Linked DNA regions of Saccharomyces cerevisiae S288C. Changing the gene in region 2 together with the main gene of any one other region gives a genetic interaction. Each region holds a gene or a part of one and is shown on either strand. Other genes may lie near its edges.

Region 1 (4,351 bases), on a different chromosome or scaffold from region 2:
GCAGAGTTCATCGGTATTTGTGACATATTGGTAGTGTTAGGAGACGTGGATATATGAGCTTCTTCGTAATGTCTCAGCAAATCATGCAAACCTGGTAAGGAAAGACCACAGCATGAATAATCTTTACAATATTGCTTTTCTAGATTTGGCAGATAAGCAGTGTAGGCTATCTGAGGAGAAATAGAATACCCTCTATGGTAAGGCGGATTACTAACAGAGGGTCTCTTAGTTGGTTGTTGAATCTGCAAAGTATTAGTGGCAGTAGTGGTTGCAGAAGCGGCAGCGGAGGCAGCACCGTTTGCTGATGCAGGTACAATACTATTTCTACGGCTAATAATTTCATCTCTTAACCAAGAACCAACACTAATGGATCCCCATGAAACACCACCCATCCCTTGAGAATGGGCTATTGATTCTCTCCGTAACTTGGCAATGTCCTGTGGAGTTAGTAGCGTTTGGTCCATTATATTTGGAGAGTACAAATGAACATTATTTGTATTATTCATGATATTTTTTTGGTGAATATTATTGACGCCGTTAAAATCTGTGTTTTTTCCATTAGAAGAATCCGAATTGTTATTTATCAAAATGGAAGGAGTATTCTGGTTCGAATCAATATCAATATTAAAGTTTGATGACGAATTTATAGATGCATGTGCCGATGTAGCCGTCGTAGTAGTACTAGTAGCCATATTGCTTGCCATAGTCATTGTTGTAAAATCCATACTCAGATAAGCTTTTCCTGTTTCGAAGAAAAATAAAAATACTGAATATGAATATGTCTTTTAATAACAATAAATTTGAAAACGCCTTACAAGTGAAATCTTGAGGTGATTAATAGTAGGTGAATCCAGAGAAAGTGTTTCGAGGATATAATATGGTATCAGAAAGCCAAAAGACGACCGGTATATTATAAACTTAGTATGAATGTATCGTGGCGCTTTTTTCTCCTAGCTTTATTCTTCTTGCTTTCTCGCTCTAAATATGATATTGCGATAAAAGGAAGTAGTTTAACTCACCGTAAAATCGATCAATATTAGAAAAACAGAAAACCACCAGAGAGAAGCACCGATATGTAATTGAAGTAGAAAAAAAATCTAGCTTTCCTTCTCTTTATAAGCGAACTTAATGATTAGATTGACTAGCGCTATCCTTCTTTGATTGTAATATTTGTCAAACCTTGTTAACGGAGCCACTAGAATGTACAAGACGTTATATAGGGATGACAGGTAGAAAAGAGATAGGGCCTGGGAGGTAAAATGCGTACGTTAGCCTAGAGAGCTTTAAATCGGTGACGATGCGAAAGCAAATGATAATGGCAATAGCGGTGGCAGGCGACAGTGGCAAGTGACAATGGCTGATAGTGACGTTATTTGATACAAAATCGCCTTTTAACGAATGCATCGCCCATTTGTTCCAAATTTCAATTGATTCGAAATTGCTCCTTATTATGTAACTGACAAAATCCTGTCCCCTTGCACGACGTAGGCGCGTTTTGTTTCTTTTTCCTACCGCAGACCACCTTGCGCACGGGAACGCCGCACTGTTTGGCACCCAGTCACCGCCCGTACCGTCGTTCCACAGAACATGCCGCAGAAACCTGTCGGGTAATAGTACACGGGATGAAGAGACTTAATGCCGACAAGCCGGGTAGGGGAATTGTAGCTCCGAAAAGCGACGGAAAGTTCAATATACAGAAAGCCCGTGCACCATTTTTGAAAAGTTTCATAAGATCTAGTTAAAGTTATGAAGAATTTAGTTCGAATGTGTAGTGATGAGATGAGCAGTAATGAAACATTAATGAACTCAGAATAGGAAAAAAAGGCAACTTCTAAACATTATTGATGGAGCAAAACGCTGAAAAACGCTCTATTGTTGGCGACGACAACTCAACCGTGAAGAGACAAGACACTTCCCCGTCCAAAGGTATTGCACATATCAAACCAGAATATATTGTACCATTGAAGCAGAATGAAAACCAGAAGGTCGCCATCTATGATGAAGAGATGTCTTCCGACAGAATGACAAACGAGTTTGCAGGTGGGACTAATAAGAAAAATAAGAACGGAAGAGGTAAGAAGCGTGGGCAAAACAAGAATAGAGATAACAGGCAGGTCAAGGAACAGAATGTCTTGTGCCCACGCTTGATCCATGGCGATATATCTAAATGCTCCTTTGGTGATAACTGTAGGTTTGTTCACGATATCAATCTGTACCTTTCAACAAAAAAGCCTGAAGTTGAAAGTAATATATTTCCTTCCTGTCCGGTCTTCAACTCGTTGGGATTTTGCCCCATGGGATTCAAATGCAGATTTTTATCGTCTCATCTGAATAAAGAAGATAATATCCTAATATCGAAGAAGGAGATTGATCCAGATGCGCAAACAATATGGTCCGTTAAAGGTGAGGTAAACCATATCTCACCGGAAAGAAAACTCGATCTTATAAAAAGAAGATTTCCTTTCACAAAAAGTAATGAAATATTGGAAATCATCGACTCTTTCCAACAAGAATGTAGAGATTCCATGAAGCCAGAAGAAGAAGTTGAGTCAACGCCACAGCTGAAGAAACAAGACCCAGATGTGGAACAACCAGTTGCCCCCCAAGTCGAACAGAGGAACAAAGAATTGTCAGAACATAGAATGAAACAGCGTGAAGTATACTTGAAGTACAAGGACACTCGTTATTTTGCTCAAGAAAAAAAGCCACTGGATTTGTACCACAAAAAAATCGTGTCGCCATTGACAACCGTAGGCAATTTACCATACCGTCGTCTAATGAGAAAGTTAGGTGCAGATGTGACATATTCGGAAATGGCCTTGGCAGTTCCCTTAATTCAAGGAACTAATTCTGAGTGGGCGTTACCTAAAGCTCACACATCAGAGTTCCCCGGGTTCGGGGTTCAAGTGGCCTGTTCTAAAGCCTGGCAGGCGGCAAAGGCTGCAGAAGCACTCGCAAACTCCGTCAGTGAAATAAGTGAAATCAACTTAAACTCTGGCTGCCCCATCGATTTGCTATACAGACAAGGTTCTGGTAGCGCCCTGCTGGATAACCCTGCAAGAATGATTCGTTGTTTAAACGCGATGAACTACGTATCGAAAGATATTCCTATCACGGTGAAGATCAGAACAGGTACAAAGGAAGGTCATCCTATCGCGGAAGGGTTAGTCAAAAGACTGGTTAACGAAACTGATGTGGCTGCGATTACCTTACACGGTAGGTCTAGGCAACAAAGGTACACTAAGTCTGCGGATTGGGACTACGTGAGTCAAGTGGCTGACACCTTGAGATCCGCCGAAGCGGATTTCATCGAAACCGAACAAGGCAAAGAAGGCAGGGATTCCAAGAACAGAATTCAATTTGTCGGAAATGGTGATGTCAACAATTTTGAAGACTGGTACCGCTATTTGAACGGAAATGAAAATATTGATAGTGTTATGGTTGCTCGAGGGGCCCTGATCAAACCATGGATTTTTGAAGAGGTTGAGTCGCAGCAGTATCTAGACAAGACAAGTACGGAAAGATTAGACATTTTAAGGGATTATGCGCAGTTCTCTATGGAACACTGGGGCACCGACGAATACGGCATTTCTCAATGTCGTAGATTCTTCTGCGAGTTCATGTCCTTTTTTCATAGGTATGTCCCCATGGGTATTTGTGAAAGATACCCTGTGAAGTTGAATGAGAGACCGCCAAACTGGTGTGGAAGAGACGAACTTGAAACTCTAATGGGTAGTACGGATGTTAATGATTGGATCAAGCTAAGTGATCTATTTTTCGGTAAAACCGACGAGAACTTTGTATTTGTCCCCAAACATAAGAGCAGCTCTTATGCAAACAGAGATTCCTAAATAGAAAATCAAGTGTACATGTATCATAAATCATATCTGATGGGTAAGCGCGGTTATTTTTCCTTTGCAAGACGAGAATTGGAATATGTACGGGTGTCAATTTCAAACGTGAGGTATGGGTTCCAAGAAAATCAAAATAAGCACAGCTGGGAAGGGTTAGGTAGGAGCGGAGAAAAGTGTATTGAGAAAATCTTAACGAGTTCGGACAGGTTATCATCGCAACACAAATGAACATAACTATCAACCTGATGCAACTGTACCTGAGTGGCTCAAATAGCAGGTAAATACAGGTGGATTTAGAAAACGCGCAGTGATTTGAATCTCGCAAGTCGCCTCTGAAAAAAGGCATTTCGCAAACTGGGGTGTCTGGAAAGTTCATTACATCCCGTTCACATAGCTCCTTCCTGGTACTTGAGTAAGTCTTTTAAAACAATTCAACATCTACTTTGTATCAGGCGCTTGGATTTACACTTTTGGCATATTTATTCCTACGCTGCAGT
Region 2 (3,619 bases):
CATCTACCAGTGTCTTATGCAAAATCAGCCTTCTTCTTTCTTCATCAAAATCTTTCAGGTGCGCTACGACACTCAGCAGATCGGTAGTATTCTTTACGTTCGATCTATCAACCAGCAGAGGGTTTTTAGCAATCAGTTCCTTGATTCTTCCTTGAATATATTCGTTGGCATCCATAATATGCTGATGTTTCAAATCAATCCAGTCAGGATCATACAAATCTACCAATTTTGAAACCTTTTCCTCTTGCTCACCAGCTTCATTCTCGGCAGAATAATGATATATATCTTTTTGTGTGTCCACATTAGCTACCAGGTCATAAGCCATTGCTTGATAGCTAAAATCATGTAATATTGGCGCAAAAGGGTCCAGTGTTCTATCGGTGATTATTAGAATGGAACGCGGTCTTTCAGTGTTTTGAGGAGGGAAATCTGGATTATTGCGAGCGTATGTATCTATCGCTATTTGGAAAGCGTTTGCAATAGACCTTGTTAAAGAATTTGCGTTGACTACGGCGTTTCCATTGCGGGCATCTTCCTCTTCCACAGGATTAGATACAGAATATCTAACAATCGGATATTCCCCCGTAATAACACACAAACTAACTAGTGAGCCTACAATCTTCCTCACGTTAGTAGGAATCAAAGCCTTACAGTTGTTGTTGAAAAAAACCTGTAATGAGTGTTCCATTTGTAAAGTTTCGAAGAATTGAGATTCTTTGACGAAAAACCCTAGTTCGATCGGCTTAAATGACTCCAAATTTTGAGCAATGTAACGTTTTGATTGAAAAAACTGAAATATAGGGTTTGTTAATCCTGGTAAAAATCTGATGTGACATCTTCTGTACTTAGGTGGTCTTACCATGAAGTCAGCATCGATACAATTGATGTTATATTTCGTTGGTTCCAATATGTAAATTGCCTCGATGGAGGATTGTCCTTTTCTTGTTGGGGAATCAATCAAATCAACAGATGTGACATTATTTAAAAGTTCTTGGGGTGTGAGGAAAAGATAACTCAATATTGTCTCCACAGTTTTATCGATAATAAGAAACTTCAAGTTATTTTTCGTCTCAATCTGATTCAAAACCCCTATCAAATAGTTCCTCTGTAATTCAATTAAATCAGACATCGTTCCGCCAAACCAAGCATGTGCACACTCTTCTACTTTGTCAGTGGATTCTAATTATTTTCAAGGTCTTACAAAGCAATGTCTTACTAGTTTCAATAGGGACTTAAACTGATCGTTTAAGCAAAAGAAAAACACCGTGCTGTGTGACCATCTACCAATAATTGCGAGAACATAAGACGACGCCGCCATTCACCTCTCTATCACTTACACCATGTTATAGGGATAAGTGTGTAGTCGATCGGCTATTCGATGATTTTTAAAGAGTGCCTGTAATAATAGCTGTATCGCAAGTAAGGAATACAAGATTACTGATATTTTGATCCAGGAGGATGGACATGTTAGATAGAAAAACTAAGAGGGCTACTACATCCGGTTTAGTATTCTGTTATTGGGAATGCTTTTCCCAAGACGCAAGCAAGAGGTGACACATAAACATAGTTTTCTTATTGTATCGTTACATATTCTTATTTTACGCTGCTGTCATTAAATATGGCACTTATCTCAGATACATTTCTTTTAATCAGCGAAAAAAATGGCGAGGTGAAAAAAATCGATGAGATGAAAAAATTTTTTACTAGTAAAGGCGTATTGATGATATATTAGCAGCTAAAGTATAGCAAGGTTTGTCAATTTGAAGCAGTCCGCGTGTTTTACAATGAGCGTCATTCATCCTTTGCAGAATTTACTCACCTCTCGTGATGGCTCATTAGTTTTCGCCATCATTAAGAATTGTATCTTAAGCTTCAAATATCAATCGCCAAATCATTGGGAATTTGCTGGAAAATGGTCTGATGATTTCGACAAAATTCAAGAATCGAGAAACACCACTGCTAAGGAGCAACAAGGACAATCCAGCGAAAACGAAAACGAGAACAAAAAATTGAAAAGTAATAAAGGCGATTCCATTAAAAGGACAGCAGCCAAGGTACCATCTCCAGGTCTTGGCGCCCCACCGATATATTCGTACATAAGAAATCTGAGATTAACTTCGGATGAATCAAGACTAATTGCGTGCGCAGATTCTGACAAGTCCCTCCTAGTTTTCGATGTCGACAAAACTTCCAAAAATGTCTTAAAGTTGAGAAAAAGGTTCTGCTTCTCAAAGAGACCGAATGCTATTTCTATAGCCGAAGATGATACTACAGTCATAATAGCTGACAAATTTGGTGATGTATATTCTATTGATATTAATTCTATCCCGGAAGAAAAGTTTACTCAAGAACCTATTCTCGGTCATGTCTCTATGTTGACTGATGTACACTTGATTAAAGACTCTGACGGTCATCAATTCATAATTACAAGTGATAGAGATGAGCATATTAAAATTTCGCATTATCCCCAATGTTTCATTGTGGACAAATGGCTCTTTGGTCATAAGCATTTTGTTTCTTCCATATGCTGTGGCAAAGACTATTTATTATTAAGTGCAGGTGGTGACGATAAAATCTTCGCTTGGGATTGGAAAACTGGTAAGAACTTGTCTACCTTCGATTATAATAGTTTGATTAAACCTTATTTGAATGATCAGCATTTAGCACCACCAAGATTTCAAAATGAAAATAATGATATTATTGAATTTGCAGTTAGTAAAATTATAAAGTCAAAGAACCTACCGTTTGTTGCGTTTTTCGTCGAAGCTACAAAATGCATAATAATTCTGGAAATGTCCGAAAAACAAAAAGGGGATCTTGCACTAAAGCAAATTATAACTTTTCCATATAATGTTATCTCATTATCCGCCCATAATGATGAATTCCAAGTCACCCTAGATAATAAGGAATCATCTGGTGTGCAAAAAAATTTTGCCAAATTCATTGAATATAACTTAAATGAGAATAGTTTTGTCGTGAATAATGAAAAATCAAACGAATTTGACAGTGCCATCATACAATCAGTACAAGGGGATTCTAACTTGGTGACCAAGAAAGAAGAAATTTACCCGTTATACAATGTTTCCTCGTTAAGAAAACATGGAGAACATTACTCGTGAAATAAAAAGGTAGTAAGTACATCTTTATAACTAATATAAAAAAAGATACGTACCGATTTGTGTTAATAATCATTGTTAGTACATCTTTATACCTCTGTTTCTAGCTGAAGGCGGCGAATTGAATAGCAGTTCTTTTTAAATTGGCAGATACAATAGGATTAATCTCATTGATACATTTTTGTAGTCTATTTGTGTCGTTCTGGAAACAGTTTTGTAAGCACGCCCTTAATGTGGCCTCGGTGTCCTTTTCAAGTAAAGGACCCATAACCTTCTGAAAGAATTCCAAATCCACTATAATTTGTAATGAGCCATCATTAGAAAGATTACCAACATAAGGCTTAAATGCCTCAAAGAGGTATCTGGCTATAAAAATCTGCGTTTCAATTAAAATCTTATGGATGAGCTGAGGCCCAATTCTAAAGCACTCACTGTGAACCACGATCAGAATCATTAACGCTTCTATAATATAGTCACCAACCCTGAATGAATTTGATGTATAC

The links. A genetic interaction does not mean that the proteins touch.
Region 1: mutations in TRM82 (region 2) and DUS3 are lethal when combined (synthetic lethality), as found in Saccharomyces cerevisiae (one study listed by BioGRID).

What each region holds. Positions count from the first base shown.
Region 1 is NC_001144.5:921,942-926,292, reverse strand, and holds DUS3 (tRNA dihydrouridine synthase DUS3), read left to right. Parts: upstream 1-1,844; coding exon 1,845-3,851; downstream 3,852-4,351. Other genes in the region: zinc-coordinating transcription factor SFP1, read right to left, coding at 1-725.
Region 2 is NC_001136.10:783,087-786,705, forward strand, and holds TRM82 (Trm82p), read left to right. Parts: upstream 1-1,784; coding exon 1,785-3,119; downstream 3,120-3,619. Other genes in the region: SEC1 (Sec1p), read right to left, coding at 1-1,129; exocyst subunit SEC5, read right to left, coding at 3,220-3,619. UniProt on the Saccharomyces cerevisiae protein: Required for the formation of N(7)-methylguanine at position 46 (m7G46) in tRNA, a modification required to maintain stability of tRNAs; its absence resulting in tRNA decay.